Linked DNA regions of Canis lupus familiaris. The protein of the gene in region 6 interacts with the protein of the main gene of each other region in a pairwise test. Links are inferred from orthologs where the notes say so. Each region holds a gene or a part of one and is shown on either strand. Other genes may lie near its edges. The genes, in order: KATNBL1, BICD2, CEP70, TLE5, TRIM54, MFAP1 and CARD9.

What was found.
Region 1: the proteins of MFAP1 (region 6) and KATNBL1 interact in binary tests that used the Homo sapiens proteins (3 or more experiments, as listed by UniProt). The link is inferred for Canis lupus familiaris from reciprocal best matches to the Homo sapiens genes MFAP1 and KATNBL1.
Region 2: the proteins of MFAP1 (region 6) and BICD2 interact in binary tests that used the Homo sapiens proteins (3 or more experiments, as listed by UniProt). The link is inferred for Canis lupus familiaris from reciprocal best matches to the Homo sapiens genes MFAP1 and BICD2.
Region 3: the proteins of MFAP1 (region 6) and CEP70 interact in binary tests that used the Homo sapiens proteins (3 or more experiments, as listed by UniProt). The two-hybrid records come from large-scale screens. The link is inferred for Canis lupus familiaris from reciprocal best matches to the Homo sapiens genes MFAP1 and CEP70.
Region 4: the proteins of MFAP1 (region 6) and TLE5 interact in binary tests that used the Homo sapiens proteins (3 or more experiments, as listed by UniProt). The two-hybrid records come from large-scale screens. The link is inferred for Canis lupus familiaris from reciprocal best matches to the Homo sapiens genes MFAP1 and TLE5.
Region 5: the proteins of MFAP1 (region 6) and TRIM54 interact in binary tests that used the Homo sapiens proteins (3 or more experiments, as listed by UniProt). The two-hybrid records come from large-scale screens. The link is inferred for Canis lupus familiaris from reciprocal best matches to the Homo sapiens genes MFAP1 and TRIM54.
Region 7: the proteins of MFAP1 (region 6) and CARD9 interact in binary tests that used the Homo sapiens proteins (3 or more experiments, as listed by UniProt). The two-hybrid records come from large-scale screens. The link is inferred for Canis lupus familiaris from reciprocal best matches to the Homo sapiens genes MFAP1 and CARD9.

Annotation. Positions count from the first base shown.
Region 1 is NC_049251.1:1,191,747-1,195,494, reverse strand, and holds part of KATNBL1 (KATNB1-like protein 1), read right to left. Parts: intron 2,187-3,748; coding exon 2,093-2,186; intron 588-2,092; coding exon 555-587; 3' UTR 1-554.
Region 2 is NC_049222.1:99,449,189-99,452,936, reverse strand, and holds part of BICD2 (protein bicaudal D homolog 2), read right to left. Parts: intron 2,658-3,748; coding exon 2,223-2,657; intron 1,753-2,222; coding exon 745-1,752; intron 627-744; coding exon 475-626; intron 1-474. UniProt on the Homo sapiens protein: Acts as an adapter protein linking the dynein motor complex to various cargos and converts dynein from a non-processive to a highly processive motor in the presence of dynactin.
Region 3 is NC_049244.1:35,272,740-35,276,487, reverse strand, and holds part of CEP70 (centrosomal protein of 70 kDa), read left to right. Parts: intron 1-546; coding exon 547-634; intron 635-725; coding exon 726-814; intron 815-1,929; coding exon 1,930-2,004; intron 2,005-3,748.
Region 4 is NC_049241.1:56,585,992-56,590,519, reverse strand, and holds the start of TLE5 (TLE family member 5), read right to left. Parts: upstream 2,875-4,528; 5' UTR 2,781-2,874; coding exon 2,754-2,780; intron 2,016-2,753; exon of another isoform or gene 1,920-2,015; intron 1,719-1,919; coding exon 1,621-1,718; intron 1-1,620. UniProt on the Homo sapiens protein: Transcriptional corepressor. Acts as a dominant repressor towards other family members. Inhibits NF-kappa-B-regulated gene expression. May be required for the initiation and maintenance of the differentiated state.
Region 5 is NC_049238.1:21,321,865-21,326,297, forward strand, and holds the start of TRIM54 (tripartite motif-containing protein 54), read left to right. Parts: upstream 1-1,494; 5' UTR 1,495-1,858; coding exon 1,859-2,026; intron 2,027-4,433. UniProt on the Homo sapiens protein: May bind and stabilize microtubules during myotubes formation.
Region 6 is NC_049251.1:10,836,748-10,840,495, forward strand, and holds part of MFAP1 (microfibrillar-associated protein 1), read right to left. Parts: intron 3,499-3,748; coding exon 3,369-3,498; intron 3,099-3,368; coding exon 2,911-3,098; intron 2,391-2,910; coding exon 2,282-2,390; intron 2,182-2,281; coding exon 2,021-2,181; intron 729-2,020; coding exon 569-728; intron 1-568. UniProt on the Homo sapiens protein: Involved in pre-mRNA splicing as a component of the spliceosome.
Region 7 is NC_049230.1:49,108,857-49,113,065, forward strand, and holds the start of CARD9 (caspase recruitment domain-containing protein 9), read left to right. Parts: upstream 1-1,313; 5' UTR 1,314-2,773; intron 2,774-4,008; 5' UTR 4,009-4,009; coding exon 4,010-4,209. UniProt on the Homo sapiens protein: Adapter protein that plays a key role in innate immune response against fungi by forming signaling complexes downstream of C-type lectin receptors.

The DNA.
Region 1 (3,748 bases), about 9.6 Mb from region 6:
TATTGATTATTTGCTATGACATTTAAACTTGCAAAGTCTTTTCAAAATAAGAAAATAGCTGCACACATTTAAGTGTTTTCTTATAAAACACAATCTTCAAAAAGTCATTATGATAGGTCTTTGTGATTTCTAGTAATAAGTCCTGTCTTCTTTTTTTTTTTAAGTCCTGTCTTCTTTTTGACACAGTATAAATTATATTCTTAAACAAGATTGCATTAAGACCCAGTAGTTCTTTTTTTTTTTTTTTAAGACCCAGTAGTTCTTAAACAATGTTACCAAATAATCATATAAATCCCAAATGCAGCAAAGGTGAACCATCCTCATAGTGCACTTTCACCTCACTGAAGTTGAAGCTGCTCCTTTTGGATATTTTCCCACTTCAATGTGAAGTAGATTGTTAGGTTTTCATTAGTGGTTTCATATGCGGCTTTTTAAAGAAAAAAAAAAGTTTTTATTTCTTCCACAGTTCACAGTTCTCAGATGAAAATTCTTTTTGGAAAGCTCAGTCTAGGGATGTTTTGAATAATCAAATGCTCTTTAATAGACGGATTCTCTCAATGCAACTGTAATAAATAAGCGTCTACATCCTTAGAAAACAAAACAAAAACATTTCATTAGCTGGTACGGCAAATACACAGATGCACACCCCATTTTCCTCTCCCTTTTTGTCACTTGACTTGCTTTTGCTTTCTTTTGTGACCTTCTGAGGGTAAAAAATGTGTCTTACTGAATTAAGCTGTATTTTGTTTAGCCAGGGTCTGGCTAAAAGCATACAGCACATTCTCAATAAATGTTTAAGTGTTGAGTGAATGCTTTGGTTCCTGTGATCAAACAACTCTGCTTTTATAGTGAAGCAAGATCATGAAATCACTTCCAGCAATTCCTGCAGTGTTATATAAACTCTAGGCCAGCTTGATGACACAGCCTTTCTGATTTCTACCCTGGAAAAATTAACAATTGAGGGTTTAATACTGTAAAAGAGGTTTTTATCCCAGTTAAAGGAACTTCACAGAACTTGTAATCATTCACTATTCTATTCAATAATAAATATAGTATCTTAAGGTCATAGTCACAATAAAGCTTCTCTGGATAAAAAATTGCAATTGAAAACAAATTTCTAAGGAAACAATATTTTTTCAGTACTAACAAGAATGCAAGGTGCCTCCAGAATGAGGTGATATATGATGCATGCTCTATATCCATTTTCTATCAAATTTTACTTTCTTTTCCCTCCCATTATTGAAAGAACAAATTAAAACAACAAAGCACTGGGAAATTGATTTTATGACATTTTCATTAAGAATTCTACAAAGTAAAATTACACACACTTATAACACACTTGATACATCATTTTGCTTCTTTTCTTGAAGGTATACAAGTAGAATATCGCAACTAAGCCCATAACATAATTATCTCTTACTTAGAATACTGTGTTTTTAAACTAAAGAATGCTTGTATATTTGTAATTAATGCCCATTTATGCCCAGTAAACAGGTGCAAATATTTCTTAACAGTGATTTTTTTCCCCCTGAAATTATATTTCAACTACCAATGTTTTCTGGAGTTTAAATATTAAAATCCAAATTAGCAATGTGCATTTTCCTTTAAGAGATAAAAAAATAAAGACTAATGTCAAATTTGTACTGTGATTTGAACATTTACTTTCCCAAAAGCATGACATTAGCAAAAGCCAAGTAAGAATTAATACCCTGAAACCACTTGATCAGGTTCCTCATCCCCTTGCTTCCTGAGTGTCCCTATCTTTTCAAATGTCTTCCTAACCTGGGTTCTTAACCTTTTCTCTAATGGAACTAGTTCATTAAATTCCCTCTAGCACATCATTTCCACAGCTATATCTGAAACATATTCAATGGCTAATTCCTGTGTTTCTTGCAAAAGTCATATTCATACCCAGAGGACCTTAAGCATTTGTAAATATGAAACTGACTTTAGGCCTTATTAGAATAATACTATATTGGATATTTGAAAGACTTCCTTTATGGATGCATAATACCAACATATTATTTCTAATATTTAATTAAGCTTAAATAGAGATTTTAAGCTTAACTTTTTAAGCTTAAATATAGATTACCTTGGCTATATTACCAGTGTATCCTGGAACCAAAGTAAGATGGTTTTCCTGTTCCCATAATCCACTTAATTGTTGTTTTAAAATCTGAATATTTCTATGAGAAAATAAGAAAAAAATGCAAATATAAGAATATGAACATAGTAAATACACTTAATGAACAGTTTTTAAAATTTCAAGTATTTATCAGGAGAATTGTACCACTTGAAATCAAGGAGCTATTTATTTATTTATTTATTTATTTTCAAGGAGCTCTTTAAAATAATATTTGCAAATCATGGAAATGATTTAAATGATTTACTTATTTTTTTTTTTTTTAATTTATTTGTGATAGTCACAGAGAGAGAGAGAGAATGAGGCAGAGACACAGGCAGAGGGAGAAGCAGGCTCCATGCACCGGGAGCCCGACCTGGGATTCGATCCCGGGTCTCCAGGATCGCGCCCTGGGCCAAAGGCAGGCGCCAAACCGCTGCGCCACCCAGGGATCCCTTACTTATTTGTTAAAGCAGGAAAGAAAACCAGGCATTTGGAGCATTTGGGCAACCTGGTCTTGGGTTGAAGTGGGAAATTTTTGAGAGCCTAGAGAGAAAATCTTTAAGAAGATTGTTGGGAGGGACACCTGGGAGGTTCAGTGGTTGAGCGTCTGCCTTCAACCCAGGGCATGAACCCCAGGGTCCTGTGATTGAGTCCTACATCAGGCTCCCAGCAGGAAGCCTGCTTTTCCCTCTGCCTGTGTCTCTGCATCTCTCATGAATAAATAAATAAAATCTTTAAAAAAAAAAAAAAAAAGAAGATTGTTGGGAGATAATTTTTTGCAGCTTCATGAATCTGGCTCATTTGGTAGAATGCCCATACATTTTTACATCAAGGCGATACTCAAATTATGATGATTATAATACAGTTTTTAGAATTACAATCATCCACATTTGATTCTCAGGTTAATGTCTAGGTAGTCAAAAGACTTATAGGTTGCAGGATGCTTCTATCCCTGTGCCTCAATACTTAGTCCACCAGAAGCCATCTCTTTTTTTCTCCTTTACTCATTGTAACAGATATGAGGGTTAAACAACTACTGTGCTTTTTCCCTCCTAAAATGAAGTGTAAGGTTCTGTCAGAAAAAGAGAGGGGATTACTGGGCTTTGGAATTCAACTTCCATGTATAATTTTCACATGTGAACACTATTCCAATTTAATATTTCTCTGAAGATAAAGAAAATCAGTTATTATTTAATGATGATAATGGAATAGAATTATTACCTAGTTTATTTTTATTTTTTAAAGATTTTATTTACTTATTCATGATAGACAGAGAGAGAGAGGCAGAGACACAGGCAGAGGGAGAAGCAAGCTCCATGCCGGGAGCCCGACGTGGGACTCGATCCCGGGACTCCAGGATAGAGCCCTGGGCCAAAGGCAGGGGCTAAACCGCTGAGCCACCCAGGGATCCACTTATTACCTAGTTTAATCAAATGGCTTTTCTTTTTTTTTTTCAAAGATTTTATTTATTTATTCATGAGAGACACAGAGAGAGAGAGGGAGGGAGAGAGAGAGATGCAGAGAGAGAGGCAGAGGCACAGGCAGAGGGAGAAGCAGGCTCCACGCAGGGAGCCTGACATGGGACTTGATCCCAGGCTGAAGGTGGCGCTAAACCACTGACCT
Region 2 (3,748 bases), on a different chromosome or scaffold from region 6:
GAAGCCAGGAATATCCTACAACTTGAGGAACAGCAGCCTCTGACCAGATTCCAGCCCCACCTCACCCACAGCCTCAAGGGCCCTTCTGGACCACGAGGGCCCGTGCCTGCCCGACACCAGCCAGCAGGGGGGCATCGTGCCCCTCAGCGCAAACACCTGAACCCAGGCCCCCGGGCAGGCCTGCCCTGACTTCCTGGCACAGGCACCTGGGCTGCCGCGTCCACAGCTGGCTGCCCTCCCCAGCTCAATCCCAGCTGGCAGCTCACACCCCAGGGTCCACTGCTGTCAGGCAGGGAACCTTCCTGGGGAATCTGTAGACTTCTGCCGGGTTCTGAGGGTGGACTCCGCCCTCACGCTGCCAGCCCACCTTGGGCCGTGGGCTCTCAGCCTCCTCCTGTTGCATGCAAAGTGCAGGCGACACTGCAGACAACAACCCTGGGGGCTTCCACCTGGGGCCAGAGCCGTGGGCATTACCTGGTGGCAAACATGGCTCGCAGGGAGGAGAAGGTGGCCGCATCTTCCTTCAGGGCCTTCAGCTCGTTACGCAGTTTCATCATGGTCTCGGTCACCATGGCCTTCTCGTTCTCGTACTTGCTCTTCAGATTGGCCAGAGCCACCTCCGCTGTCTGGGGGTCAGACACACAAAGGGCAGGGGGTTGAGACACATGGGGAGGGGCCCTCCGTCTCCTCGAGCTGCTGTCCGAGGCCCAGGGAGGGACAAGACCCGCCCGCCCAGCTGCACACCTGCTTGTTCGCCTTGAGCACCGTGCGCAGCGTGGTGATCTGCTCCCGCTTGGTGCTCAGCAGTGACTTCAGCTTGAGGATCTCCTCCATGAGTGCCTCCCGGTCCTTGTCTGCAGCAGGGCCCAGCTCCTGGGAGGCCAGGCGCTGCCGCGACAGCTCCGTGGTGCGGTCCACGGCCGCCTGCAGATGCCTGATCTGGTCGCGGATGATGGCGATCAGGTTATAGATGTTCATGGGCTCCCGGCGTGGGTCACTCAGAGGGGAGGGCAGAGAGGGGCTGGGCGAGGGGCTGCTGTCCCCCGCCCCACCTTCCGTGGCTGGCGGCCCTTTGGGTAGGACGGGTGAGCGGCGCCCACGGGCTTCAGGGCTGCAGTGGCCAGCGCCAGCCGGGCCCTCTCGGTAGTAGTCCAGCACGACGCGAGTGGGAGTCTCGTTGTTGCACATGCACACATGGTGGTACAGGTTGGCCAGCTCTTCACTGAAGGTCACCAGCTCGTCCTGGGCCACGCTCAGGCTGCCCTGTGTCTCACCCGCAACGTCACTCACCTTCTTCAGCTCTGCCTGCAGCCGGGCCAGCAGCTCGCGATCCTGGCGGCTGGCCTTCTCTAGCAGGGAGACCTTCTCAGTGAGCGCCTGGCTCTCAGCCTCGTGGCGGCCCTTCTCCTCAGCATGCCGGGCCTCACCGGCCTCATGCTCACCACGCAGGGCTTTCAGCTGCTCGCGGAGCTCACCTGCCTCTGCCAGGGCCACACGATACTTGCAAGCCAAAATCTCAGGCCCATTGATGTCCACCTCATAGTAGTCCCCGTCCTCATGGCTGTCACGCTCCTTCTCGCTGTCCAGGGCTGTCCGCCGCTCCTTGCTGGCCTGCAAGCGCCGCAGGGCGGTAAGGTTCTCTGTGAGGCGGCTCACTTCCTCGCGCTGCTCCGAAAGGGCCCCCCGCGCCTGCTCCAGCTGCTTCTGTGTGTCCTGCAGTGATGCCAGCAGGCCCACCTTCTCCCGCTCCATCTGCAAGAGCACAAGAGCCCCATCATCAGCCCACCGGAGCCCAGAAAGACCCAGTGGTGACCCCGCCGGCACCACAGCTATCCCCCTGCAGGTCTGTGCTGTGTGTAATGAGGGTGCCATGTGTGGGGCCTCGATGGGCCCCTCCTTGGAGATGTGTGGTAAATGGGGGTGGGCCATGCTACAGATCCCAGAACTCTGTTCTATACAGGGCGGGAAACTCTGACATGACATGTCCAGAGGACGCAGCTGCAGGAGATCGCCTGTGAGCCCTATGAGGCAGCAGGAGGGAACCTGCAGAAACCCAGGCTGTACCTCCCCTCAGCTCTGCAGCTCCACTGATGCTAGCAGTGTAGACTCCATAATAAATACTAGCAAGAGGGGAATGGGGCACCATGAGAGCAGAGCTGGAGCAGGGAATGTGCACAGCCGCCTCAAGGCCCTGTGGCTGGGACGACCCTGGCCACCCGCACCTGCATCAGCTGCTGCTTCAGCTTCTGGATCTCAGAGATGTTGAGCTCGCTGAGGAGGTCAGACACCAGGCTGGGGGAGGGCGGGGCGAGACCGTCCTTGGAGGGCGTGGAGGTCCGGTTGTCCAGCGGCAGCTTGGCCAGGCTGGCATGTTCGAAGCCGTTGGCCAGGGCCTCTGTGTCGTCACCGAGCTTGAGGCCATCCAGGGAGACATGCAGGTGGCTGGTGTAGAGAGAGTCGTTGATGCTCATGTAGTGTGACAGCTCCTTGCGGAGGCTGAGCTTCTGCTCCCGCTCCGTCTTTAGGGTCTCCAGCGCCTCCTCCAGCTGCCGCTCCGAGATCTCCTTGAGCCTGATGGCATCCTCCAGCTGGCTGTTGAGGTACTCAGTCTCCTCCTCCAGACGCTTGATCTCGTGCTTGAGGCCCTCAAACTCCACCTGGGGAAAGAGCGACAGCGTCTTGTGCCTGCACAAAGGGGAGGCAACAACAGGGCTCAGAGCGCCACTGTCAGCAGAGCCAGGATGCTCCTCAGAGCCACAGATGCCACGGAAACCAGAACGCATGTCTCTGCTGCAAATGCTGCAGATGTCAGGCTACTTACAATGTTACTAACTGCGTCCTGACTGTAGATTCCACAAAGTTACTTAGTGAACATTAATTGTTAATTGAATATTTTAACAAATATAAAACATGTACCACGACCATCACTTGTATTCCGGAATCCAGAGGGACCCCGACCCGGAGGCTCCCCAGGGGAAGCGGAGGTGGGGAAAGAATCCAGAGCTGCATGTATCTGGAGGTGGATGAGGGGGTAAGTGCGGACAGACACCAGTGCCTGCAGTGGGGACTTGGGAGTCTATGGGAAATTTAAAAAAAACATTTCTTATTCCAAAAAAACAAAAACATTTCTTATTCTGTCATATTGGTGCAAGAAATAAGGAACAGACCACTTATATGTGGGCCCGAGAGGACCTTAGGGACTCACAACTTGGGGCAGGGGGAGGCCCGGGGAGGGGCCAGCCTCCACCACCTGCCACCAGGGCCTAGTCCAGCATCACGGCAAGTCTGTTGTGTGGCCCGAAGCAGGCGCTCTGTGCCTGGTGTCATGCTGCCGACATAAACACCCGGGCCATGCCCCCCACACAGATGGAAACGTCCAGGGAGGTTAGGGGATCCTGGGGACATAGGTGGCAGGTGTGGCCCTGGGATACCACCTGGATGTCCCATCAGCAGTGGCAGTGACCTTCCTTACCCCGCTGTCAAAGAAGCCTTCTCTCATCCCACCTATTGCCGGGGTGTCCGAGCCCTGACACGTCCCTGCTGGTCCTCACTGCCCATCGGCACCTCCTGGTCAGGACCTCAGACAAGGGGCTGGCAGACCACGGACAGTGGGAGGGACGGGTCCAGGGCTCCAGGGGTCATGGGTGCATCCTGCTACTGCTGCGGACAGATGGAGCTGGACAGCCTGCCCCTGGGCTCCGGTGTCCCCTCTGCTTCACCTCTGGTATTTGTTTCCTCAGGGGCTGAC
Region 3 (3,748 bases), on a different chromosome or scaffold from region 6:
TTTATTTTTAACACCAATACTGTGAGGTAGATGTGATAGATACTTCTGTGACAGAAGACAAACTGAGAGATTGACCTATTTGAATGGCATCATGTTAATGGTGTCACAATTTGAATTGGGACTGTTAAATCTATTGCCTTGTCCACTCAGACTCTATTTTTTTCATAAAGGTTTTTTGGTGACCTAAAAGTACTAGAAAGGAAAAACAGTATGCTTTGTTTATTCATTCAAAAAGTTTTTTTTTTTTTCCATCCTCATTATGCCCTATACTCTTCTAGGCAGTGAGATGCAATGGTGAACAAAATACAATTCTGGTCTACATGGATCTTATGTTCTAATTAAGGTGGTAGTGAACAAATATGTACTGTAATATTGGGTAGTTGTATCTTCTAATACCATTCTCTCTGAGAACAAATAGGAAATTTGGCTTAAATTTTAATTCATGTTTAGGTTCTCAGACACTTCAGGGTTGACTTTTGTTAGCTATATTTTTTCCTTTGAAGATAGATTTTTTGTAAGAAGTACACATCGTGTATCTTTTCATAGGCAATATAAAGAAGATGAAAGTCAGTCAGAAGAAGAAAAAGACTATAGAAGTTTGGATGCCTCACCGACTTATAAAGGCCTTCTAATGGTATGGGGACTACATGGCTAATAATTACGTTTTTATAAAGTAAAATAATAATCTAGGAAAATTAACTATTTTTCTATGAAATGTGTTGAAGTCATTACAGAATCAACTCAGGGAATCGCAATGCAAAATTGATGCACTTTTAAGTGAGAAGCTGAATCTCCAAAAAGATTTGGAAACCAGGTGAGAGAAACTTGACTCATTTTTATTTAGTTTTTGGAAAGTAAACACAAATTGGAATTTGGGATGTTAAATGAATCTTTCTAGCTCCTTTACTGTAAAACTAATCTTGGAAACTTCATATTTTTTTTACACTCATTTTAGTTAGTTGTATCTCATATGATGGAAGGAACAAGATCACATGTAGGTAGGAAAGGGAAGTGAGAATAAAGGAGCCCACATTGAAAGAGATAAAGCTGGGTAGGAGCACAGAATATATTCAGATTTATATCAGCAGGTTTCCCATTCCCAAATTTCTTTAGAATGTTTTCTATCTTAGTCCCTGTGTTGTGAAAGAAGAAAACTAAAAAGTTTAAATGGTATACAAGGTATATTTATGCATAGCATGCCACCACAAAAGGATGATGCTCTGTGTCTTGTCAGGGAATAATAAAGAATGAACATTGTTAAGATTTTTTTCATTTAAGAAGTGTTTGTTGAATACCTCTTATAAGTTAGACACTGTCCTAAGCTGTGGTGTAATATAATGACCAAATAATAACTTGTTTCATAAAGATTATATTTTAATGGAGAAGGAATTAATAACTAAAGTAGAAACCATTTATATAAAGTTTAGAAAAACCTACCACATGATGATATGTAAATTTATGGTTATATAAATATGTAGTAAAAATTTTTAAACATGCATGAGAATAATGAATAGTGAATTTGGGATAGTGGTTACCTAATGAGGGACACACATGGAGTTTTAAGTATGTGTATAATGTTTTAGTTGAAAAAAAAATGAAAACAAATCTGTTAATATTTAACTTTGGTGAGGCTGAGTAGTGGGTACACCATTATTTATTTTACTGTTCTCTCTTCTTGTCTGTACATTTGAAATATTTCTCCATAAAAGCAAATAATAGATTAACAAGAAAAATGGGTAAAAAGTTCTGAACCAAGAATACATGGAAGGAGACATTCATTGGCCAATAAACACCTCACTGACAGTCATGAAATATTTTAAGTTTTTTAATAAGCATATTTGTGACAAGTAATATGGCATACCTTATTTATTAAATATCTTTATAGTTTTACTCAATAAAATGCAATTCAATGTGATTTATTTTCTGCAGGCCCACACAGCATGAATTAAGACTTTATAAACAACAGGTGAAGAAACTGGAGAAAGCCCTTAAGAAAAACATCAAGTAATTCTATTTTACCAAAGTTACAGATTTGTTATGGTTTTATATTTTTATTTTTATTACCTTTAAATTTACTTTATACTTACCTCATGGTGGCTTTGGCTTGAAATTACCAGAGTGATGATGGGGGAAAATGTCGTAAAAGGGTATTTTTGGTTCCACAGTTTGTTTGTTTTTTTTTTGAAAAGATTTTATTTATTTATTCATGAGAAACACAGAGAGAATGAGAGGGAGAGAGGCAGAGACACAGGCAGAGGGAGAAGCAGGCTCCACGCAGGGTGCCCGATGTGGGACTCAATCCCGGGACTCCAGGATCACGCCCCGAGCCAAAGGCAGGCACTAAACCACTGAGCCACCCAGGGATCCCTGGTTCCACAGTTTTAATACAGTTTCTACTGTGTTGGATTTGGCTATGTATTTATCTTAAGAACAAAAGACAGGGATCCCTGGGTGGCTCAGCGGTTTGGCGCCTGCCTTTGGCCCAGGGCGCGATCCTGGAGACCCGGGATCGAATCCTACGTCAGGCTCCCGGTGCATGGAGCCTGCTTCTCCCTCTGCCTGTGTCTCTGCCTCTCTCTCTCTCTCTCTGTGACTATCATAAAAAAAAAAAAAAAAGAGAACAAAAGACAGCATTTGCCTGATATAATAAGGGCAAATATTGTAACTAGAAAATTGTCTTTGGAAGCCATAGTGGAATTGTAAGTGAATCATTGAAATTATACATGATGAGCTCTCAATTTTTGTTGGTGCCAGTAATGGCCTGAATAATACACAGCCTCATCACACTTTAAAAGTACTTAGAATGAATGCAGTGAGTGAGCCATTCACATCCATCACTTATTTGTACTTTTCTTAACTTTGAAAAGCACAGTCTCAGAGGAGTTTGAAAAGTTAGTCCTGAATAGTAGTAGGATTTTCTGAAGATAATCTAGGTGTACTTTTTCATTCAAGGGAATGGGACTTGAGGAGGTAGTGCGGGGAGCATTGGGAGGAAATATTTTGAAAACTATATGAGCTAATATATGCATTAGATGTATTAAATCAGTTGTATTAGCATAAGTTGATTCAGTTTTCAGTGATAACCGTGTTTCTTCCTTCCTGTGGCAACACATGCCATAGTGAAGGCAAATATTCTGGAGATCCAAGGATTAATGTACTGAGTTAATTAAGATAGTACAGAAGAAAAACTAAAAAAGAGAAGAGAAATGGAAGTTTCGGAAAGACTGCATTCTTTAGCTCACTTAATATTTTCCCCTTCCTACTACTCCTTAGTATTTTTGGCACATTTAGTACTTCTGCTATGTGCTTGGCATTCTAGGTACTGGAATTGCAGTAATAAGCCAAATAGAAAGGATCCTTGCCCTCATGGAGATTACATGAGGAGATAAGGACAATGAAGAAAAAGACCATTTTGATGTAATATAATTACTAAATGTAAAATAGTCTGTTGTGTGAATTTGGACAAGAGGCGGTGGTGACATGGTCATGGGGCAATAACAGCAGAGGTGAGAGTGTTTGGAATATTGGAAGGTAGAACTGTTAGGACTGGGTGATGGATTGGATATAGGCATCTCACAGGGCGGGGAGGGGAATCAAGACTCCTTTAAGTTTCAGGCCTAAATAACTATATAGTTATTGGTATCTCAATAAGATAGGAAAATTGGTTGAGAAGCAACTGGAAAAAGGATGATGGAGGGAGGTAAAAAGAGGAGAAGGTGTAGATAGACATTACATTTGATTATATGTA
Region 4 (4,528 bases), on a different chromosome or scaffold from region 6:
GGGTTCAGGCCCGCCACCTCGCTGCTGTGTGGCTCTAGGCAAACCCCTCTACCTCTCTGGGCCTTGTCTCTGCATCTGTAGGGACTGACCTCCCAGGGTGGGGGTGCTGAGAAAAGGAAGTGGATGAAGACCAGAGAAGCTTCTAGAACAGCGCCTGGTATACAGGAAGCACCTGATACATGCTTGACCTTCTGGTCAGTCATCCCAGGGGCCTGGCATCTTCGCTTCACCAAAGTGCTTACGACGGGTCTGCCACTGTGCATGTGGCTATGGGCCCCACGTGTTTTTTCTCCCCCTTTCCTTAAAAAACGCTATTTGTGGATACCATTGGGGGGAAAAAAAAACAATCAGGCAATTTCACGCCAAACTCTGAATTTCTGGCCCTGTTTGAGGGTCTGGCAACTCCTGTGTGTACCCACCCCATGGGAGGACCCCTCACAGTCCAGAGAGAAACCCAGGTCCACCGGGTGCAGACCCCAAGGTTCAGAGAGGGTGTCGGGTTTAGCTGAGGACACACAGCCCTGTGACGGCCCTCTGACCCCCGGCTCTGGGGTTGTCAGGCCCCAGGGCTCACTACGAAGTGGGGGCGCTCTGGAGGGGCTCCGAGAACCCAGGCCTGCCCAGCCCAGGCCCTAAATGCTTCACATCAGGGACCACAAACAAAGTTCCTGGGGCCTGCCTTCAACTGCCAGTGCCTCAGTTTCCTTGTCTGAGAAATGGGCACAGTTAAGAGGCCCACAGCGGGGAAATGCTACAAGAGGACATCGGTTCAGCATCTAGCACATGGGGAGTGAGGAAAGTCGCCTTGAAAGGTGAGATTTTTTTTAAAAATCTATCTACAGATCTGGATCTCGCTGTTTTTCTTTCTTAAAACCCAGAATCTGTCTTGGAACCTGTCTGCGCAGGCCAACAGGCCTAGAGAGCCGCTGGGGTCTGCGACCGTGACCGAGGACTCCGGCCCGATTCCCAGGCAAAGCCCCCCGCCCCCCAACAGCCTTGAGAATCTGCGTTCCCCAACCCAGAGATTACGGGCACATCTCGGCCTGGTCTCAGTGCTGTGCATCCTCAGGAAATCTCTGCCCTCTCTGGGCTTGACGTTCTTAAAGCATGAGACAAAGACAGCACCGGTCCAACCCCTCCATGCTGCACTGCGCAAGCCCTTTACGGCGCCAGAACGTTAAATTCTGGGGGAAGAGCCTCCTTGGAGAGTCTTGTTGGGAGCCGGGAACTCATTCCCCAAAACTAAGCAGAGAAGAGACAGGACAGGCTGCGGAATGTTTTCTTTCCGGGGTGGGGGGTCCATCCTCCACCAGGCTCCTTGGGAGGTCTTTTATCCACGCGGGGGGATTGGGGTGGGGGTGGGGAGAGGCCCTCTGAAGCCACACAGCCCCAGTGTCTGGACAAATAATTTAACTTTCTGTGCCTCAGGCTTCTTACCAGTGAAATGGGTTGTCTTGAAGTCTACGAGTTTAATATCCGGAAAGTGCTCAGGACAGGGCCTACCCCGTACCAGGACGCTCTCGGCCTCCATTTCTTCAAATAGGTGTATAAAGCAGTAACCCCCCCCAGGCCTGGGGGGCCTCCCCCCCCAACCGCCAGGGCCTCTGGCCCCCAGCTCACCTGTGGTACTGAGCCTGCAGCAGCTGAAACTCGTCTTTGATGCGGTCGCAGGAGTCCGAGGTGGTGAATTTGAGTTGTTGGGGTAGGTGAGAGGAGCCCTGCGGGGAGGGGGCGGCCGGGTCAGGGCCCCGCGGGGCGGGGTGACCCCCGGGGCAGGCGCAGCTGCAGCGCCCCCCCCCCCCCGCCCCACTTCCCGGGCCCGTGTTTACAGCCCCTGGCGCGGCCCCCGCCCTCGCTTCCTGCCCCCGCCTCTCCCGGGGGAAGGCGAAGGGGTGGGTGCGCCCGGGGCCGCCGCGCTCCCCGCCACCCCCAGGCTGTGGGGGTGCGTTAGCAGGTCCGCCCTCGGCGGGGGGCGGCGCGCGCCCTCTACCGCCCCTCGGAAGCGCCGGAGGGAGGTGCAATCCGAGGGCCCCAACCGCCTCTGCGGGAGGGGGGCCGGCGTCCTGGAGGCCCCCTCCCCAAGTTGGTGGGGGTGCCCGGCCTCCCCGAAAAGTCCCCTTGGGGAGGGGGCCTCTCCCGGCGCCCGAAATCACCCGGGGGGGCGTCCGCCCCAGATTCCCAGCACCCTCCTGCCCGGCCGCGTTCTTCCGGGAGGGGTGCGCCTCGGATCCCCCCTCATCCCAGGCCTCCAGACCAGCCCCGGAGCTCGCGGGGCCCGGCGGGGCTCCCGGGGTGCCCCAGGCCCGAGGCCAAGGCCGCCCGAGGCCCGGCCTGGCTGGGGCGCGGGGGGGGGGGGGCCTGCCCCGGGGGCCGGGGGGAGGAGGAATCCGGGCCGGGAGCCGGAGGGGACCGGGCCTGGGAACTAGGGGGGATCCGGGCCGGGCGGGGGGAGCGGCCGGGACCTGCGGGGGCCGGGGAGCCCGGGCGGTGGGGGCGGGGGAGCCGCGCTGGGCCCCGCGCCGGAGTCGGGGGAGGCGCCGAGCAGGGAGCTGGGGATGGGGGGGCGGCCCGGCCGGGAGCGGGGAGGGCGACGGCCAGGCCGGGACCCCGGGTGCCAGGCGCCGACCTGGGGAGGCGCGCGGGGCCCGACCTGGGGGGGGGCGGCCGGCAGGGGACCTGGGGGGGCGCGGGCGCGGGGATGCGGGGCCCCGACCGGGGTGGGGGGGGGCGCCGGGCCGTCGGGCCCCGCTTACCGAATGCCTGCTTTGTGGAAACATCATGTCAGTCGCGGCGGGGGGCGCGGGCTGCGCCCCGGTTGTGCGCCCCGGCTCGGGCGGCTCGGGCGGCTCGGGGCGCCGGGCGGCCGCGCCTTTGTCCCGGCGCCGATCGGCAGCTCCCGGGGCCGCCGCCGCCGCCTCCCGCGCCCGGCCTCGCCCGCTTCCTGCGCCCCCTCCCCGCGCGCCCGGCCCCGGCGCGCCCCGGGCCCCGCTTCCTGCGCGCCCGGCGCCCCTCCCCGCCCCTCCCCGCCGCCCGCCTCCCCGCACGCCCGGCCGCCGCTCCTATTGTCTAATGGCGGCGGCGCCGGCACTGGCCGCGGCCTCGGCTCGCGGAGGCTCCGGCTCCACCTGCTGCCGCCGCCGCCGCCGCCGCTGCTGCTTCCCGGGCCCCGTGCGCGCCGCCGAGGGGGGCGCGCGCCCGGGGAGGCCTGCGGATCCCCACCCAGCCCGCCTCCCGCCGGCCGGCGCGGTGACCTTGGGCTCGGCGCGCCCCGCCCCGCCCCGCCGCGGCCCCTCCCGGCGGGGGGCGGCCGGCCGCGGGCCTCGGTGTCCCCGCGCGGCGAGGAGGGCCCGCCGCCCCCGTCTACACCGCCGGCTCCGTCATGGCGCGACCTGGACGCGTGCCAGGGACGCGCTCCGTAACCTTGGCCCGCGGGCCGGCTGCTCTGCGGGGAGGCCGCGCTGACCCCGCCGCCCCCACCCGCGCACCGCGCCTACTGTGTGCGGGCCCGCTCGGGACCTGGGGGTGGGGGCGGGGTGTGCGCGCGCGCGCGTGTGTGTGCGCGCGCGTGTGTGCAAAATCCCGGCCTGGTGGAGATGGCAGGAGACAGACCGAACCCCCAGCTAGGGGGCAAATGAGCCAGCGGGGAGGGCCCGGAAAGTGCGATTTGAAACAGAGGAAGGTCAGAGAGGCCTCCTCAACCGCAGAGGACCTGAAAGTGAGAGACAGCCCTGGAGGGGGGGTGGGGGGAGGCAGGAGTAGCAAGTGCAAGGGCCCTGAGGCAGGCCCAGCCTAGCACTGGGGACGGCGCAGGGAGGCAGGGCCAGCAGCTTCACACCTTGGTTCCCACTGGAGGCCTGCGCTCTGAAGGGCCTGTGCGGGTTCATGGCCTGCTGCGCTGGTCTGGAAATTCCTAATAGTTTTCCAACAAGGGGTCCCACAATTTTTGTTTTTAAGATTTTATTTTTTATTTATTCAGAGAGAGAGAGAGAGAGAGAGAGGCAGAGTCACAGGCAGAGGGAGAAGCAGGCTCCATGCAGGGAGCCCGACATCGTCGGACTCCATCCCGGGACTCTAAGATCACACCCCGGGCTGCAGGCGGCGCTAAACCGCTGCGCCACAGGGGCTGCCCCGGGGTCCCACAATTTTGTTCTGCACTGGGCCATGTGAATTCTGTAGCGGGGCCGGCGGCATGACAGATGGTGCAGGGCCTTGGGGGCGGTGGGGGGTTTTACTCCAAGGGAGGCTCTCGAGGCAGGAGGCCGCGACCCCCCCACCAAAGGCCCGGCCAACTGGGATTCTGATAGGATCACTCTTGCTGCCATGTGGATAACAGGCCCCAAAGAAGTTGGTGAACTAATGCCTGGTTAGCCCGGCAAGTGCTAAATACAGTCTCTTAATTACCACCACCATCGCTGTCATTATCGACTATGCCGCTTGCCTCTCCGGATATCTGTGACTTCTCTGGGCCTTGGGTTTTCCCCGTCTGCAAAACGGAGACTTAGGACCCCAGACACCTTTCCTGGGCAGA
Region 5 (4,433 bases), on a different chromosome or scaffold from region 6:
GGTTCCTATCCCAGAGCTACTCATCAGCTAACCCTCCTTTGTTGCAACACTGCACCAAGAACTTTTAGCATCAGCCTCATTCCTATAACCAGCACACCTTTCTGGGGCTGGTCTCACTTCTCCTGGTGCCCATGCACTTGATGTTGTCAGCCTCATTCTATGCCACCATGACTCAGCTCAGGCAAATTATGAATGCATTTGAGGTGTAGAGGTAGTTATCTCACCTTTGGATTCTGTCTGGACTCCACCACAGCACAACACTCCTCACCATGGGTCCTGTGGGCTGACCAAAGTTCATACATCAGTGGTTGCTTGCCTCCATCCTTTTTACCACATCTTATGCAGGCTTATCACCATATATGTTGTTCTTAAAATGGGCATGAAACATTTTATAGGGAAAAGATACTACTTTTACAGACCCTTTCCCCACTCGTGCCTCTTCATATTGCCTGTTTGGTAACCTCTCCACACCATTTATTTCCCATCCACCCAAGGTCAGAACTGAGTAACTCCTCAAACTTCTCTCTCCTGACTGGGAGAGGGACTAAGAAATGTCAGTAAATAAACGATCTTTTTTGTCCAACCCAATGCATTTGTTGGACCTCAAAAAGACGAATCATGCCTGGGATAGAGCAAAAGGCCCATGGGAGAAAAAGACAGAGGGTGGGTGCCCCTATCTGAGACCAGCCTGCTTTGGAAAGGAGGAGTCCAGAACAACTATAGAGTTGGGGCAGAGGCTTCCTGGAGCCTTGTGATTATGACTTTGTCAGTGCTCTAAAATTTCCCTGGAGACCAATTCCCCTGGTGCCCAAAATAGGTTCCTGGCACTCGGGTCCTTTCTGCTCAGCTCAACTTCTCTTGATTTCCCAACAAATTTAAAGTCCTTGGAGTTGCTCCAGTGATGTGTTCATGGACCAGATTCCCACACTTTCTCAGAGGCATGCTCATGAGGTCGTTCCAGGCCCTGGGGCAGCTGCCAGCTCTAGCGCCCTTAGCTTCTTTTCCTAGGGTGATACAAGAAAGTTCTAGGCAAGAACAAGAATGGACCGGAAGTTTTGGACCAGAGTCTTTCCCTCTAGTGTCTGATGCCCCTGTTTTGAATCACAGGGTTCAGCGGAACAGGGTGAGGATCACAGGTTGAGCCTTGGAGGTCCTGACTAGGTTTTGAGATCTCTCCTTCCACCCTGAGCCATGTATGGTTCTCATCCAGGCCATTTTAGATTCTGCATTGTTGCCCTAGAAGAAGAGCCCACACCAGAGCATGGGGGTCAGGGGCTCACCAGAGCCTACTGAGCGTGAGAGCTTGACATCTTTGCAGACCCACCTTTCACCATAAGAGTGGAGCTCACTCCTGCTCTTATGAGAGTCACCCATTCCTGAGTGAGTCAGGGTCACTCACTTGGTGACAGCTGTGGCTCGCCTTACATGAGCTAAATTGGGAGTTGGAATGTCATGCAGATGCCCCTTGTTCCCCACCCCCATGTTAAAATTAATCTCCTCTCTGGGAAGTGAGGGACAAACAGTACTGCCCATAGAGTGAACAAGAATCATTTGGGAAACAAAAGGAGAAATTTTCAGGGACAGAATCATTCAGGAAGGGAGGGACAGATAAAGCTACATGTGCCTGGCTGGGGTACAGAGCAAGGAATAAAGAGAAGTATCTGAAAACAGCTATCTGAAGACGAGGTGAATTGTTGGAGGAAGGGACAGGAGAGATAGCAGACCTATTTCAAGAGTGAGCAGTAGAAGGGACCATAAGAATCTACGGGCTGTCTAAAGTAAACGAGGAAGGGTCCAGGGGCAGTGAGGGAAGGCCAGGACTAGGGCCAAGGCCAGGGCAGGCATAATCGCTGAGGGGATGAACTTCACAGTGGGTTTCAAGCCGCTGCTAGGGGATGCACATAGCATGGACAACCTGGAGAAGCAGCTCATTTGCCCCATCTGCCTGGAGATGTTCTCCAAACCGGTGGTGATCCTGCCCTGCCAGCACAACCTGTGCCGAAAGTGTGCCAACGATGTCTTCCAGGTGGGCCAGGGATCGGGGGAGGGCAGGGCCAGGTAAAGCAGTGTAGATTTGTGGGAGACTTCTCATCAGGTCAGAGCTGAGACCAGAAGGTGATGGGGCAGAGTACTCTATGAAGTGGGTGGTGTCTGTCCTGGCGGAAGAGCAGAAGATTCGGGGTCCTAGTAGATCCCAAAGTAAGCATGAGTCAGCAACTGCTCTGCAGGCTGGCAAGGACAGCCTATGCATGCCTGGACAGCAGCTGGAAAGCTGGTATCTGCAGAAGAGAGAAGACCCCCATAGAAACTAGAAACTGGGAGGGAGGTGGTCCTACCCTAAGCTGCTTAACAATCTGTACTGGACTCTCTATTCCAGTCTAGAGTTTCAGATTTTGAGAATGATATGGAAGATTTGGAGAAAATATCAATGAGATAATGAAACATTAAAAAATAAGCCCTATGAGCACAGTCCATGATGAAAGTATTTGTATTTGAGGCCAAGCTTAACACATCCATCTTTTGGGGCAGAGTGGGAGTGGGTAGGAGATTGGGAATTCTCCCCAACTAAAGTTCACACTTGTGCCCCACTCCAGATTGGTCAATAAAGGGGCCTGCTGGTTAAAAAGCATTGTGGTCACTTAAGTAGAGAGAATGTAGAGAAATGCAACCAGCTTTGGTTTATGTGCGGTCATGGGGCAAAGCATAGCTAATCAAATTCACAGATGTCATTTTAGCTACTGGTTTCAAAAAGAAATGCAGCATATACCAGAATGGTTTATAAATGGATTTTCTATTTTGACCTCTGCCACTGGAAGAAAGATCAGAGAAAGTAAGGGGAAAAGTTGCATACACATACACACACACACACACACACCCCTTGCAAATGAAGTAAAATATCTGAATAAACCAGAGCTAGCTAGCTTAGTAGGCAGGGCAGTGTTAAGGAACATCACTAACACATATTCTTCACCTGTATCAGAATTCAGGGAGAAATGTGTTGAACGCAAATGATTTTAAAGTTAACCAAGAAAATGCTTCTTTTTTTTTTTTTTTTTTTTTTTTTTTTTTGTTCTTTGGGGCAGCATGTTTGGGAAAAAATAATGGGCTGGCTAAGTCAGGCTGTCCCATAGCTGTGCCCTGTGACCTATCCTTGGCAGTCTGCCATCTTCCTGTTGAAGCCCATTCCCATCTCCTATTCTTCTGTGTCTTAGCCTGCCGTTACATTGTTTGGCTCCAGAATATCTCAGAGCCAAGGATTTTCCCTCTCTGGGAAGGGCTGACTGCTCTGTCTGCTTATCCTGGACATCAAGTCATGTACTAGAGGCTTCGCCTTGCCCACTATTTTAGTTTTCCTCAGGCTAAGTACATTTCTGAACATCCTTCAGTCAGATGCCTAGGAGGGAATGGCAACAAGGTTTTGCCATCACTTTTCATGAATTTGTAGTGAAACATCTTTCCATTAGATCTGGAAATACATGAAAGCAAAGAGAAGTTTTGAAAGTGAAGGTAATCTGTCCTATTAAAAAAAAAAAAAGCCACCAGAGTATCAAAGTACGAAGCATATAGTATCATCGGGCAGAGGGTCCCAGGGAAAAGCTCTCTGTATGGAGGCTACAGAATGTTTAAGTGGCCTCCCTTGTTCTAGTCAGTGCTCTATATCCAGGTGCACCATTTTGGTGCCTTAAAGCTCTGAAATACTGATTGGACCCAGAGAGAACTGAGACTGGGCTGAACCCTATGCAGAATGTTTGGGAAACAACATGGTTCCCAGAACTTTGAGATGGTTCTGTGGATCTGGACTGATATGTCTCTTTTAAAGTGCAGAGCACCCCTGGGCATCCCCCACCAAGGAGAAGAGTGAACAGCTCATTTCCTTGCTCTGCTTTATTTGGGGCAGCCTGGTGGGAGGCTGACCCAGTTCTTTGGCTGCACTTATGTATATACATCTCAGTAGTTCTCCCTCTGAAAGATGAGCATATTTAGTTTTTTCACACATTGCCTCCACATTTTGACAACTGTAGGCATAATCAGATTGTCTGTTTTCTAAGTATGGGAACAAGAATAAGACTTTTGGTAACTCTATCTTAAAACCACTTAGGAAGAATACCCTGAGAACATTGCCTAGAAAGTTAATAGAACTTATAAAAGTTACAGTGTCACACACACACACACACACTTTAAAAAATAGTATAGGAGTTTATAGCATGAAAAATGACTACCTCAGGCTCTCACTTCCCTTCTCCAAATAGAGGTAGCCATTTCCAATTTTCTTGGGTACCCTCCCAGAGATTTTCCATGGATAGGTCCACCTATGTTTGTGTGTTTAAATTACACTCATTGTCCTAAATCTGCTTTTGTTCACTTACTCTTTCTGTAGTTGTTCCATCTGCACACATTCAGATCCGCATTTTCATTTTAAAATGGCTGCAGAA
Region 6 (3,748 bases):
AGGTTAACATGTGAGAGGTTACAAGGTTAACAAGGTCAACCTTGGTCAAACCAAGGTTGACCTTGGTTTTCATGTGAAGAACAAAATCTTGATGGTATTACACATACTGGCTAGATAATAAACTTTTTCTTTTCTTTTTTTTTTTTTGGTTAGTCACTTTGTCAGCTCAGATTGAAGGGAATTAAATTTCAACCTCCCAAATATTTGCATAAGCAAAATTCCTCACTCAGCTATGAATAGTGATTATCTAATTAATTTTGGGGATTTAAGTAGTCTATATCTATATACATAGATCACTATTTTAGTTCCTCAATTCTTCTATTACACACCATTTCCTCCTGATATCTGGGCCTGAATGGAGAACAGTGGCTGCTACTTCTAAAATCGTGTTGTCAATGCTTTTTTCTATTGGATTTATATTCTTTAGAGGCAAAAATAAATGAGAACACTGACCATTGGCAAGTAGAAGTAACATCCCAGGACAGTTTATTCTTGGGGGGAGAAAAGAACTCAAAAGTTCCAAATTATTTCTATAGCCCAAACTTCCCATTCCCTTTTGACTCCTTACCATGAAGAAGGCACCCCGGTGATAATACTTCTGTAAGAACTTATATTTGCCCTTAACAGCTTTGTTGGTAATGACTTTGCCATTTGCCCGAAGCTCAGCTCGCCTCTCTTCCTCAGTCAGGTTTCGCATTCGTTCAATTTCTGCCTTCTCCTTCTCAAGCCTGTGTGGAGAACAAAACTATTAGTATTATTCCAGTTTCAGAGAGACTCAATTATCTGAACTTAATGCAGTCTCATCTTTCAAGCATTATTCACCTTCCTTAATTCTAGTCATTGCCTATTAGGAGTTAAGATTAGGAGCCCAACAAATAAAAAGGTGAAATGGTCTTATTGTAAACTTCCAATAGTCTTTATAAGGTTCGGACATAATATTACTACTTGACTTTGCAATGTTAGTAATTTCCCTTCCCTAAAAAGCCTACTTGGCTTTAAAAAAACCCAGAATTTAACATAACTGTGTTAAGATTTAATTGGCATTTTTTTAAGTAATTGTGTATGTACATACATGACAAACCAAGGGTTACCATCATTAATTAGATTGCAGTGACTAACCCTTTTTGGGGGGAGGGGAGCCATATATCCCTTGTCTCCAGAAAAATACAAATAGACATAACTTTGTATATGATTTTAAAGGGTACATGCACTCCTTGAAACCCAGGATAAAAATCTTAGAAACTGCAGGCTGAGGACAGAGTTTTCTATTCATGGTTTCCTTTTGTAATCTGGGATTACCCTCTCATTCCTAGTAATTTTTAAGAATGAGTGATGCAGCTCAGAAATGATTCTGATCTAACAATACTGACTGTGGTAGAGTATTTAAAGGCCACAAATTCTTCCCCTCACAATATGCATGCCCCTTTGCAGAAATGACATATAAGCCTCAAAAGACCTTGGCAGTTTCCACTTTTGTCCTCTTCGAATACTGCCATGAGGCTGTTTTATAAGGAAGCCGATCTAGCCCACTGAAGAAGTGAGGCAGGTTAGCATTAACTATTGGACATGTGAATGAAACCGTTTTGGACACTCTAGCCCAGTTAATTCTCCAGCTGGATCCAAGTGCATTAAGAGAGCCCAGGTGAAACCAGCAGAGGAACTGCTTAGCGAACTCCAAAACTGTGAGGAATAATCAACAGTTTCAAGTCACCAAATTTTGGGTTGGGTTTTTATGCAAGATTGGATAATTAATAACAGTGAATAACTTGTGTGTGCCTACTAGGAAACTACAGGAAGTATTCACTGGCACTCTATCAAGAGAAACACTGACAGAGTGTTTCTTTTCACTAATTTTATTAGAATAAGCCACATTACAATTATGAGAAACTCACTCAGTTGCAGGAACCCTAAAGAAAGCTAGAATGGAACTAACTCATGGTAGGTATTGAGCCTCAGAGTTACCCTAGTAGTAACCTGTCCCATTATTGATATTAAACTACAGGCCCATCTTATTACTTACGCTTCTCGATCTTCTCGGTCTCTCTTGATTCTCTTTAGCTCCCGAACTTTCCATGCCTCATATTCTTCCTCATCATTTTCATCATCAGTATTGAGAGCATCCAGTGCAGCCAAGGACCGCTTGTTCTCCTCCAGCTCTTTTTTGGTCTCCTCTTCTACAATCTGGGTAAAGAGAACATTTAACTGTTGGATCTCCTTATTTTCCTGACAAACCTAAGTATACTCCTCCTTGCATGCAATCCTTACAGCCACTCCCCAGTACCTTGAGTGTGTACTTGCGCCTCTCCTCAGCCATGCGTTTTGCTTCCTGCTCCAGCTCCTTCTGTTTTAATGCTTCAGCCTCCCGTTCTTGAACTGTTACTCGGTCCTTCCTGCAACAGAGAAGTCCTGTTAATTGCCCAAAGTCCTCAGAGTGGACCTCTTTGTCTCTAGCTTAAGTCCCATCCAAATGAGACAAAGCCCAATAATCGCTGGCTCTATTATTTGCAAACAGCCAAAGTTGGGAGTCATCCTAGGTATTTAAAGCATTAAAATTCCATTCATCTTTGATAACTGCCTGAATAGCAAGAACCTTCTGGATTATAAATTGTAAGATTTCTTGCCATTAGAAAAGGACCAGGAATTCACTTTTCAAGTTTAATTTTGTGCCTTACAGGACTGTGGGGAGATTATATGCTCTTTAAAAAGGGAGTTATGAGCACGTAACTCAGGTTCTCTGTTAATACCAAGATATTCCTCAGCAAATATTCTGCATAGATAGGGAACTGGGCAGAAGACTTTCACTTACAGCTGACATTTCAGAAAAGCCTGAGAGAGGAAAAAAAGGCTTCCATCTTCAGACATGGAAAGTAGTAACTATGTGGAATCAGGCCTGGTTTATGACATACTTACTTTCGAATGAAGACAGGTTTTAGGCGAGGCTCCATCTCATCTTCACTGTCTGTGTACTCTTCATACTCAGATTCTGATTCTGACTCCTCCCCAGAACGTCCCTCATCTTCCACCTCCATGACTTCCATCTCTTCATTTTTTCTCTCCTGTGCTCGCTGACGCATCATGCCACGGCGCCTCTCTATTTCCTGTCAAGTCATATGTCCAAGTCAGTCAGCCCAATGACCTGTGCTCTAAGGCAGCTTTTTATTTTCCCCTCAGCACATTTAATAAATTCTGTTATAACTAAATACAACTTAGCATCATTTTATTTTTAATTCTATCTCCAACAAACGGGGAACCACTGGATCAGGGTTCTGCCAAAGTATCAAATTTGTGCCTTTGGAAACTCAACAAAGGAGAACAGGCCCCAATTTTTCTCGGACCCAGAAAGAACTTCTCATTTTCCCTTTTTATACCTCATCATCAATTTCTTCCTCTTCTTCTTCACTGCTATCCTCTCGTTCCATGCGCCATGCATCTCCTTCTACTTCTGAGTCACTTTCACCTACCACTTCAGGTTCTACTATTTTCCGATGTCGAGCCAATCTGAAAAACAGCATCTTCAAGTATAACACCAATGTCACAAAAGTGAAAGAGCATTACCCACATTTCCTTAGTCTTAGAGCACCTGGAGGTTGTTTGCCTTTATTAATAGTGAAGTCTTGAGAGAGGGAAACTGAGGGACAGAAAAACGAAAATAATTCATGGGGCACTTGGGTGGCTCAGTGGTTGATTGTCTGCTTTTGATTCAGCTTATGATCTCAGGGTCCTGGGATCGAGTCCTGCAACAGGCTCC
Region 7 (4,209 bases), on a different chromosome or scaffold from region 6:
TCGCCCACTGGGTTGCACACTCCAGGCTCTGGTGCTTCCTTCTTGCTGACCCACGTGTGCCTCGGGGCCTTTGCACTGCTGTCCCCTCTGCCTGGCCTTCGTCCATGTCTGTAAGGCTTGTTCCCTTATCCCAATCATGTCTGCTCAGTGTTTGGCTGTTCAGAGATGCTCTCTCTGCCTGTTCTCTTGGGGCAGTACCACTGTCAATGTCTGTCTTGCTAGCACTGTCTCTTCTACACCCGACATGGTTTACATGCGTGTCTGCCATAAACGTGAGCCCTTAAGGGCGGTGATATGATTTGGTTTTTGCTGCCGGGTCCTCAGTGCCCAGAGAGCAGGCATCAAGTAGGCCCTCAGTACGGATTAGTTGAGTTCATGGTGCAGAGATCCCATGTGGGGGAAGATGTCTGGTCTACAGAGGTGGGAGCCAGCTCCTGCGAGTGTAGTGGGGCTGCGCCCTGAGAGGGTCCACAGAGGGGATGCTGGGGGTGGGGGTGGGGGCATCAGAAGCCCACCCAGGCTCTAGGGCCTGCCCTCAGCATGGCCCCCTGCATGGACTGCAGGTGGGCAGCCAGACCCGGTTCTGCGCCCTCGGAGGAGGCCTAATGCCACCTTTGGTTCCTATCCTACAGCACCATCTCTGGGGTCTGGCTGGGGTCAGGGTGTCCCCACCATCTGGGCATCTCTGTGTTCCAGGAGGCGGGAGCCATGCTGGACCCCAGTGAGCCCACCTGCCTGTGGAGCCCAGCTCCAACCCTCCCGGAGGAAGCAGCCTAAAGCAGTTGGAGGCTGGGGGAGGCTTCGCCGTGTGACCGTGAAGCCACTGGGGCTTGGCTAGTCCTCCAGCACAAATCGGAAGGAATGTTTGAAGGAATAAAGTGAATGGCTTATTTTTTTATTAAAAGGCAAGCCCCAGATTCTTGTTGCCTTAAGAGACTGGGCAGAGGGTTGGGGCTCCCCTGACCGTGCCAGGACCCGGATGGCTGGGCCCTGAGGTCTGAGGAACCCCCTGAGCTCCGGGCCACCGTGTAGGACGTGGGGAGTGCCCTTTGCACAGAACACGCTTGTGGCTCAAGCCCCAGGGCCTGCCAAGAGCTACCAGGCAGCTGCTGCCTTGGTGGGGCCACAGGGAATGGGGTGGACCTGCCTCACTGCCTTCCTGACCACACCGCCGACCCAGGCAGGCATCTGGAACCAGCGGCTGCCCGCCTGCCCACAAGTCACGCAGCGGCCCCAGGCCGGCATTGCCTTCCTCCTGAGCAGCTGCTTCTTGGTGGGAGGCCAAGCCCCAGCACCCTTGGTGCTCTGAGGGACGCGGTGCACAGCCTTGGCTTTGGTGTGCAGCCTTTTGAGGTGCTTGGTTCTAGAGGCTTCATGCCTGTGCTCTCCAGGTGTGAGCATGCCCTGGGGTGCTGTACCCACCCACCAGGGGGCTGACCCACCACCGTGCAGCCTCATGCACAAGCTCTTAGCTTTTCAGTTTGCACCTGGGGCTTTTTCAGCTCGTTTCTGCTTTCCTTGGGGGCTCCTTTAGACCTATGGCTAGTTAGAGGTCTCTTATTTTATTTTCAAACGTTTAGGGATTCTCCAGTTAGCCTTTTGTTATTGATTTCTGGCTTTTGATACAGAGAACAGAACATTTCTGTCATTGAATTCTTACCAACACCCCCGTGGGGGAGACACCCTTTATTAATTTGCTTTTGCAGAGCAGGGAAACACTGCTGGTCATAGCTCCTGGAGGGCCCAGGACTGGCTGTTCTGGAAGCGCGATGGCAGCCTCCATCCACCCAGGGTCAGAGGTCCGAGAGCCTACAGGCGGGGAGCCTGTCAGGCAAGAGGCAGCTGCCATGGGAAGGTGGGGCTGGGAGCCCTGCTCAGGACCATCCTGGCCTTTCCCTAGCAATTGCCTCAGCCTGGCAGCCAACAACTTGGACCAACCGGCCCAGCTGCGCCAGTGAGGCCTTGGCCTGGGGGTTTCCTGGCAGACCCTGGTCTGGAGGCCTGCTATCCTGGCTATTGGGTGCAGCTCTGATGGCAGAAACAGCCCTTCTGAAACTGGTTTGCGGGGCCATGATGAGTGGCCTGGGAGCCTGCTGTCACAGTCCCGAGTGTCCTAGTAAAGAGGTTGCTAAGTGGAGACACTCCCAGGAAGGGATAGGGTGTGCAGTGTAGCAGGGGCCGGTGGCCATGTGGGGCAAGCACGGACAGGCCACAGTGGGGTCTCCAGCCACATGCCTTCTGGACGCTACACCAGCCCTCATGTGATCAAGGCCCGGCTGGCCTACTGTGTGTGTGGGCATCTGGCTGAAATCCCAGAGTTAGGCCTGAAGCCCTGGGATCTCCTGCACTTTGCAGAGGGCCCACGCTGCAGGTTCCCAGCCAGCCCCTGGTGGAGAAGCCTCCAGAAGCCTGCGTTCAGGCCAGAGCGGACTAGACAGTGCATTGGCCTCATCCAGCTCCGGGGAGGGTCCTTGCTCACACTTCCACTTAGTGGATGCCAGGGGTGGGCCTCCAGGCCTCTGAGCAGGACTTCCACTTCCCTCTGCCCCGCCTCTTGGGCCCTGCCAGGCGGGCGAATCAGAAGGCAGGCCCAAGGACCCACTCCCTCTGGGAGGACCTTCCCGGCTCTGTGGAGCTGAGCAGCACCATCAGGAAGTGCACAGCTTTTCCTCCTGAGCTCCACTGGGCTGCCAGCAGCACCTCCTGTTCATCGGATCAGGCCAGCCTGGGCTGACCAGTGTCCACTGCACAGGTGCCTCTCGAGGACCCTGAGGTAGGCTGGTTGGCTGCCCTCTCAGGGTGGCCAGGAAGACACCCATCTCTCTGCTCAGGGCTCCTGGGGCACATACCCCAGAAGAGCACCCAGGGCCTCCACTCCTGCCCTGTCCTTCACAGCCACCTGAGACCTGCTTGTTCAGCTCGGTGGAATTAGAGGCAGGGGTCAGGTGTGGGACCTGTGGATGTAGGTGGGAAAGGCAGGAAGCGGGCTGAACGTTCCAAGGGCCATCCACTGAGTTGCTGGTGTCTCTCTGGCTGGATGGTGTGGCCAAGGGCTGCAGGAAGTTCAGGAAGCTCCTCCAGAGGCCCTGCCTGCTGCCGTCTGTCTCTGGGAGTATGGCCTAGCTCCTCTGGGTGGCAAACCTCCGCCCACAGTTCCTACGCTGGCTGAGGGCAGTCTGAGGTGGCAAGTCAGGGTCTCTGTCCCCACCACTGGGAGGAGGCTCCTGGTTTGGCCCAGGCCTCGAGCGTGGTCTGTGCCCGCCAGTGGAAGGGAGCAGCAGTGGGTAGTCCCAACACGGATGGCCCTGGTCAGGGAGCTGGCACCCTGCGTGCCCAGGAACAGGGAGAGGAGCCCAGAGGTGGCTGGTGCCTGGTCCCTAGGAGTCTGCAGAGGGCACAGGAGCGGCGTGGGTGCTGGCCATGCCAATGCAGCTGGGCCCCTCCTGGTGCAGCGGTCCACAGCTGCCCTTCCTGAGCCAGCCGGTGCCTGGGCCACTGTTGCACCACCAGCCAGCCGCCGGAAAGAGAGGAGGCGGTGGGGCTAGGCCCTGAGCAGGAGCCATGTCCAAGAAGGAGGAAGTCCTACAGCAGCACAGGCTGGCGTGTACGTGGGCAGGTCAATGCCCCAGGCGTGCCTCCCCAGCCTGGGCGCCTACCTCCCTGTACCTGCCAGGGAGGCCCTGCCAGTGGGTACGAGGTGGTGGTCTGCCAGACTCACGCTTTAGGGATGGGGGTGCAGAGGCCAGAACAAGGCCACAGTGGGGGGGGGGGTATTCTCAGATGCCGCCAGTCCCTGAAGCGCCTCCACATCTTCCCTCACACTTATCAGGGTGACTTGGACAGAGAAAGCCTAGGTCACCTGCTGAGGGAGTGGCTGCAGGGTCTAGAGAAGGCCGGGAGGGCTGCCCTGGCTGAGCTGGTGCCCCGGTCAGAGCACCAGCGCAGAGGAGGGAGGGCCAGGGCGGGTGAGGCTTCACACCTACCTGTCCTGGACTCCCCTGGGCCCAGCATGCAACTGTCCCTGCCAGCTGCTCTCCCACCAATCGCAGCGGTGGCCGCCACCATGTCAGACTATGAGAACGAAGACCAGTGCTGGAGTACCCTGGAGAGCTTCCGAGTGAAGCTCATCTCCGTCATCGACCCCTCGCGCATCACGCCCTACCTGAGGCAATGCAAGGTGCTGAACCCCGATGATGAGGAGCAGGTGCT